Linked DNA regions of Drosophila melanogaster. The protein of the gene in region 1 purifies or fractionates together with the protein of each later gene. This does not show direct contact. Each region holds a gene or a part of one and is shown on either strand. Other genes may lie near its edges.

What was found.
Region 2: the proteins of MCTS1 (region 1) and DENR purify together in Drosophila melanogaster (affinity purification with western blotting; one study listed by BioGRID). This does not show direct contact.

What each region holds. Positions count from the first base shown.
Region 1 is NC_004354.4:6,035,960-6,040,141, forward strand, and holds MCTS1 (malignant T cell amplified sequence 1), read left to right. Parts: upstream 1-1,932; 5' UTR 1,933-2,009; coding exon 2,010-2,020; intron 2,021-2,081; coding exon 2,082-2,234; intron 2,235-2,303; coding exon 2,304-2,606; intron 2,607-2,916; coding exon 2,917-2,998; 3' UTR 2,999-3,617; downstream 3,618-4,182. Other genes in the region: rux (roughex), read right to left, coding at 34-1,019, 1,110-1,131. UniProt on the Drosophila melanogaster protein: Regulates translation as part of a complex with DENR. Specifically required for translational re-initiation in mRNAs containing upstream open reading frames (uORFs). Not required for standard translational initiation.
Region 2 is NC_004354.4:16,885,015-16,888,594, reverse strand, and holds DENR (density regulated protein), read left to right. Parts: upstream 1-2,034; 5' UTR 2,035-2,066; exon of another isoform or gene 2,067-2,138; 5' UTR 2,139-2,157; coding exon 2,158-2,277; exon of another isoform or gene 2,278-2,295; intron 2,296-2,366; coding exon 2,367-2,628; intron 2,629-2,735; exon of another isoform or gene 2,736-2,793; coding exon 2,794-2,981; 3' UTR 2,982-3,049; downstream 3,050-3,580. Other genes in the region: CG4880 (uncharacterized protein), read right to left, coding at 361-972, 1,185-1,628; Polr3I (RNA polymerase III subunit I), read right to left, coding at 3,079-3,519, 3,579-3,580. UniProt on the Drosophila melanogaster protein: Regulates translation as part of a complex with MCTS1. Specifically required for translational re-initiation in mRNAs containing upstream open reading frames (uORFs). Not required for standard translational initiation.

The DNA of each region.
Region 1 (4,182 bases):
TAGGGACTATAGCTGTTTAAATATCTGTCCGGTCTAGAAACGCATCCGCCTTGGTCCCGTCGCACGTTTACGCACTACTTCGTTGCCATTGGTTGCCTGTTGTCGTTTCCTCGGTGTACAGCTGCTGAAATTTGTGGTCTTCAAGGCTGTGGATATATCTACGGGGATCACTACCTCGCCAGTCTCCTCAGCCTGCTGCGGTGCTGGCTGCTCCTGCGGTGCTGGCTGCTCTTGCTCCACCACGGGTATGAAATCGGCATCCTCTTCTTTCTGAGTGTTCTCCTCTGTAAATAAAGTACGACGCACGCAGCGCCTCGCTGTTGGCGGCGTTGAATCCTCCTCGGTATCCTCCTCATCATCGGTGGTTGGATTACATCGGGCGCTGGCCCGTCGTGCAAAGGAAATGCTGCACAGTGGCGGAATCAGAGTGGATCGTTTGAGGCTTGTCAGACCCCGATCGTAGACAGCCAGGCAGATTTCAAAGCCGCTCACTTGACCGCCGGGCAGAAAGGTGCTCCGATAGCCCAAAGTAAGGTGGACCGCGCATGACTCGCCCATGTCCAGGCCGCCGTAGATATGTTCATTACGCTTGTTCAACAGGCCACACGCCTCCACATACTTCAGGGAGTTCAAATTGTAGCTCGATGGACGGGGCGGTGTGATCAGGGTTGAGGAAAACTTTTCATTTACCTCCTCGTCATCGCTCTCTGGACGCACATGCAGAGTGGTGCCTGTGCGCTCCTTCTCCTCGTAGATGCGACGACGTTCCGAGTCAAACGATCTGCCGAAGCGCGCCTTCAGCAGAAGTTCGTCGCCCCACTCAATTTGTGCTGCTTCCTCGAATCCCTCGTGCTTGTAGCGCATTGTCAACTGGTTTCTCAAAAATCCGGTGATTGCCTTGGCGCCACGCACATTTCGACTGTAGAAGCTGAGGATGCAGTCCTCCCCCAGGTCGCGGCGTATGGTCCCATCATCTACGCCATTGATGAACTCATGGATCACCTCCAAAGGCGTCTCCTCTGAAAATAAAGCAAGCGGATGAGATGCGATGCGATTCCTATTGATCAGCCCAATCGCATACAGCTGTTATCCGTTGGTTTGCCACTTACTATGTTCTTCTGGAGCGCTCATTTCCTTCAAGTATTTTCATGCGATTGCGCTTATAAAAAATAAATATAATTTACAATATATACAATTCGACTTGGACACTATGTTGTTGATACAACAATGTTTTGGTAATATGCCATATCGGCCAGTGTTGAAAGTGACGCTAGCTATCGGCTCGAGGGGTCAGGGGTCAGCGCCTACTTGTAATTCGGCTACTGTTGTCCCGATAAATCTTTACGTTAGTTGTACTTGTAAAAATCACATTACTTTAATCTGTTAAGTCTATTAATATTGTTTGATTTTTATTTAAACGTTAATTGTTAATACCATATATCGCATGCACACTTGAGGGGCGATAGTTGGCATTCCGCTGAGAACTGGTCACACCGCACAGCGGGCCAAGCTCTATAACCGATACTAGAGGTGGAGAAACATCGATGTTGGCGGACTCAATGTTTTCGATGTGTTTGGCGAAAAACATCGATCTTTGGCAGACTTAGTCGTTTACAACTTAAGAATTATTTTCTTCTTTAATATTGCTAACATAATATTGCTTTTCATACGTCGCCGGTCCAGTAAGTGCTCCCATAAAACAAAAATACTAATTAGTCCAATTCAATGGATAAGTAAGCCAGTATACATACGAGCACGTGCACGCTTACACGTTTATGGAAAATTAATTTTTACGTACAATTTATACACTTTTATCTCCGATGCGCAGTATCGATGGAAAACCATCGATGATTCCTCGAAACACATCGATGCTTGTGATTTTTCGAAAACATCGATGACATCGAGTTGGCATCGATGTTTCTCCACCTCTAACCGATACCTTCTATCATACATTGAAGACGGATTAGCACCGTCGACCACGAAAAAAGAACGCAAGGAAATCGTGCAAAATGTTCAAAAAGTACGTATGGCATGAGTTAGATGGGGACATCAGACTAACCATAGCAATTCGATCTGTGCAGATTCGAAGAGAAGGACAGCATTTCCAGCATTCAGCAGCTGAAGTCGTCTGTGCAGAAGGGCATACGTGCCAAGTTGCTGGAGGCCTATCCCAAGTTGGAGAGTCACATCGACCTGATCCTGCCCAAGAAGGACTCGTACCGCATCGCCAAGTGGTAGGATGGCTCAGTTCTTGCCACAGCACATAACTCCATTCATATTCCCGATCCCTACTCCTCCACCAGCCATGACCACATCGAACTGCTGCTAAACGGAGCCGGCGACCAGGTGTTCTTTCGCCACCGCGATGGCCCCTGGATGCCTACCCTGCGCCTCCTGCACAAGTTCCCCTACTTCGTGACCATGCAGCAAGTGGACAAAGGCGCCATCCGCTTCGTCCTGAGCGGAGCGAACGTCATGTGTCCCGGCCTCACATCGCCAGGCGCCTGTATGACGCCGGCCGACAAGGACACCGTGGTGGCCATCATGGCTGAGGGCAAGGAGCACGCCCTGGCCGTTGGACTCCTCACGTTATCCACACAGGAAATGTAAGTGTGCTTCTACCACTTCTTTAGTAGTTAATATCTAAGAATATTAATTTATATGCTTGCATTTAGTTTACTTAAATGTGTTTAAATGTTCGTCTTTGACATTGTTTTATAATACAAACGTAGTAGTTTGTTGCTAGGTTAAATATGGTAAAGCTTTGTAACTTTGAAATATTCTTGAGCTTGGAAAAATCAAATTGTGAAAGAATAATCATAAATGGACAATGTTACCAATTTGCTGAGCCGTGTGCATATTTTTTAAATTTGAATAAACCATGAACATCTTTCTTTTCTCTTGACTTTTCCACAGTCTGGCGAAGAACAAAGGCATCGGTATCGAGACGTACCACTTCCTCAACGACGGCCTGTGGAAGTCGAAGCCCGTGAAGTAGGCGAAATAGGAATCTGCACTTGCACTTTTTAGTCTTCTATGTCATGAGAGCAAAGAATGGTTTTTGATATACGCAACTGAGTCCTGATTATTATTTTTTTCTACTAATTTTACTCTGTCAGTTAAACTATTTAAAACATTGCGAAATATAATTAATGGCATTTCAAGCGAGCAGAGAGGGATTGAAAGAGAGAGTACTGAAAAAGAAAACCAACCACCTGTGGAGACCAGTGGTCCAGGTGAAAGGTGTCCAGTGGATCTAAATTTGAGCATTTTAATCGGATTCGGCAGGTATGACTGAACATTGAGTCTTCTGTTTGGCGGTCTTCATTCTGTTAGCTCTTATTTTAAGAGTGACTGAATAACTGTGACTCCTTTTGTTTATTGATTAGTCTAAAGAGCAACGAAACAAGGCCTGTAGCTTAAAGTTTGCCAGGGCTGCGAACAACTCATACAAACATTTCAAGGTTATAGTTGATATCCGGGCACTTGTGAATACACGAAAAGATTGTATACAAAAAAGAGCTTATAACTAAATGTACACAATTTATTATTTGTAATATTATAATTTTTAGTAGTTTTACTTCAAAATTATTGAAATAAAGCTTCGCAATACGTGGAACTAAGTAATTTTTGTATGGGTATCTATTGTAAAACCATAGCAAACTCTTGAATAACATAGCATACTTTGTGGCGTCTTTTACTGCCGCACGTAAAATAGGAGTGTGAAGTTTTCCCATTCTATATGCAATTGGGTATGCGGCTTGAGGTATAGAAACTACATAGGTTTTTCATGGGGCGTAATGCTCTTCTTTCAAACTGTGCCCGCCGCCCTGGTTTTTCCAAACTTTCAGCTGACCGATAAACGGTACAATCGAACAGCTGACTGGCAGGCATGCGCAATGATAACGGTACGGCGCACTCCGCCGTAAATGGAGAAAGTGCTTTCCTTTCGCGTCACACAGCATTTGACGCATCCAACGGCAAGTGCAGTGCATATTTCCCCGGAAAGGCAAGAAGAAAAACGAAAAAAAAAACAGAAAGTAAAGTTCGGAATAACGGTGGAAAACATAGGGAAAAACCACAAGTGGTGGCTGGATACCGTTACCAAGGACTATGGACCTTTTCCATTGCAAGAAATGGTAATTTCAGATGAGTAATCGCTGTGGAAAGTGCTTGTGGGGC
Region 2 (3,580 bases), about 11 Mb from region 1:
GCAATTTTAATCACATTTACTTAATATCGTGGTTGAATGCTGTCAACTTACAATTTAAATATAATTCGTTCATTTAAATTTATTCTTATATGATACCATTGGTTTTCTTTTACAAAAATTTTGTCATTTGTCGTCTTAATTTCATTTACACATATGGTAGTACAAAAATAGCAAAGTATTGGCCATATATGTATGTACATGTACGATACACAGGAATAAAACATTGGTTTTTGATTTACAACATTAAACTTTGTTTGCTGATATTCCACGGATGCTAGCCTAATAGTTTTTGCCAACCTGCTTTTAAATTTATCACGACTGGTTTGCAGAATTGTCTAAAACGTAAACTTTAAAAACCTACTAAAAGGAACCTACTGGAAGGACTTGGTCAGTATCCTGGGAGTCTGCGATTATTGGTTTGCCGTAGAGCAGGACCTTGGCCAAAATCGACTTGCAGCCAGAAGCGCTAGCATCGATACTTTTGATTATCTCTTCTACGTGCTCGTCTTCCAGGTGCACCATTGCGATGGCGGCTTCCCTGCGGATGCAGTCGACCAGATGGGTGGGATCCAGAGTCGCAAAGGTGACCAACTGGGTGTGTGGCATATTTCTAAGGATCTCCATATCCATCTCAAACTCCTCGCCGGGCTGCATGCTATTCACATTAAAGATAAACACAATGGTCAACCGCTTCTGTTGCGGATGCTCAGTGTGGTTGGCGCTCTTTTCGCCCTCACTTATCATTTCGTTAATGATAGGCACGAAGTGTGCATCCTTCGGCGTCATGTTATCAATCAAGATCATATTCTGTCCGCAATATGTCAGGCCGGATAGCATGCTCTTCACTCGGCCCAAAGAAGAACTGCCGGTCCAGGAGAGTGTATTCACGTTCTCGGGCCAGGGAAACGTTTCGCGCAAGATTCGCGCAGTGTGGCTCTTGCCTACGCCAGAGGTGCCCACCAAGACGATTGCCTGTTTGGAAGGAGATCCGGGATATTAATACACAAAATATTGGCAATTCATTAAGTTTACTAAAGATCATCTAGTTGTTTGTTGCAATAACCAGGATAAATCTGGATGAGCATATACAACAACTGGTAGTACAATCAATAGTAAACTATACTAAGTGATATGGAAAATCCGCTTAGGATGCACATTAAATCTACTGTTTCCCCGCTAGTCACCTCATTGGTGGTGTTGTCCAGTGCCAGTTCTAGCTGGTTCAATGCAAGATCCTGGTTGAGTACCTGGTGGCGGGCGTGCAGGACCATGTCGCCCAGCCGTCGGGAGGGATTGCAGTAGTTGTCCTGGTTGTGGACGATCGAGTGGTACTGGTTTTTGTAGCTTTCCAGGAATCCGCTGACCGTGGACAACTTGTCGGTGAACTGCAATAACATGCCAATTCCTGCGGCGAGGGCGAGAATGAGGTATGCCCAATTCCGCCATGGAGCCTTCTTCTGGGTACAATGGGCAATGTCCAAATGGTGTTTGCACACCTTTTTATTCAACCGCCTGTTGGACTGCAGGCGGCGAATCTCAGTCCTCCTCTTTCTGGCGAATGGCCGGCTTATCGGGGCGACCACATTTTCATTCTTTTCGTTCTGTATTAGAGTATTGTATGTGACCATTTTATTAAGCCTTGTTTCGTTAGCAACTGGATATTTTTGGCTGACTTGTGCTCGAATACAATTATCAGCCTACTGTGATACAATTTGGTAAAAACTTTGGTTGCATGTTACAAACCGGCAAATTATTCTAAATGCCGCTTCCTTCATGCAGTATTTCACGAGTGTTGTTTTGATAGGCAAACATATTTTGGTATTTTACTATCGAAACATTCTTCTGTTCTGCCAATAAATACAATTTTAATAAGTATTTTGTAATACAATACAAGGTATAAATTAAAATAGTTTCAATCAATGTAAAATTAATGAAAATACGTAAATTTTAATTTTAGCTTATTGATAGTCGGAATTGTACTACGATTTAAATAAAGGTATATTTTAGGTAGGTATTTATTTAACATGTGTCAATGTTAGTATATTTTACGAGCCTAAACAAAAACGGTCAGTTTGCAGTAGCCGACTTCTTAAAACTGTCATTATTTTAATATTTCAATAACCCGGAGCAAATCCCAGGCAGTTAATCCGATCCGCAATGACGAACGAAGATGTGGGCACCAACAGCGTCGCCGACCGCCTACAGTTGGGTCCGCGCGAAGGCGTCACCTATCCGATCCAGATGAAGTACTGTGGCCACTGCACGATGCCCATTGAGGTGAGTTCGTCTTCAAACCTGGGAAAAATCCATATTAGGGATCATATATGGCCCATATATTTACATATATATATATCCACTATACGCAGTACTGCGAGTACTATCCGGAGTACGAGAAGTGCAAGGAGTGGCTGGAGCTCCACATGCCCGATGACTTCGAGCGACTAAAGATTGAGGAGGAGGCTGCCGCCGCTGACGGGACGGATGACGACAAGAAGCGCCAGAAACGCGGTGGCAAGGGACTGTTGCGCGTCAAGAAGAAAGAGGACGTGCCCAAGCGTATCTGCGTCTCGCGGGCGGCACGTGGCAAAAAGAAGTCAGTGACCGTGGTCACAGGATTGAGCACTTTTGGTAGGTTCTGTTCGCACATTATGAGTATAGAGTAGGAAATGGAGGGGGATGCGGGCCCACTGGATGCTATGAGTAGCCATTACCATACCATGTAACTTAGATATATTAGATATACTTATGAGCTTTATTGTTAACTAAGCATAATACATTCCCTGTCTGTTCCAGATATTGATCTCAAGGTGGCCGCCAAGTTCTTTGGCACGAAATTTGCCTGCGGCTCCTCGGTTACCGGAGACGACGAGATCGTCATTCAGGGTGACGTCAAGGATGACTTGTTCGATGTCATACCCGAAAAATGGGCCGAGATCGATGAGGACGTCATCGAGGATTTGGGCGATCAGAAGCGAACATAAATAATTTACCTTTTTTTTTAGCTTATTTTATACGCTCCATCAACATAAATATATGAAACGTTAAACGTAATAAGCGGATGGGTTATTTTGGCGGCTGCTACCCGAGGTTTTCTCCATCTGGTGTCGGATTGGACTTGGTTTCCATTGAAGTGGGTGCATCCGTTGCAGGCGCTGTAGTGGCTTCATTTGCTGGAGTAGCATTATTTTCTGAAGACGATGTTTCCACTGGGCTTGCTTCTTCTGCTGGAGTAGTAGTAGTGGCTTCACTTGAAGGAGTAGCGACATTCGCAGGAGTAACTCCATCACCTGGCGTGGTTTTGTCCGCTGGAGCTATTTGTTCCGCTGGATTGGATTTTGCCTGGGCATTACGCTTTACGCCAGATTGCTTGCCGGCCTTCGCAGTGGACTCCGCAGGCTTTTCCGCCGGTGTTTCCTTAGCAGCGCCTTTGGTTTCTCCACCATGGAAGTGTTTGTAGCTCAGCTGAATGATTTTCTCGTTCTCCTCATCGGTTAGTGGAGCTTTATTGTCGTCGATGAGCTGGGGAGGTTATTATATACTTAATTAGCCTTTCTGGCATATGATAGACTAATCCTTACCA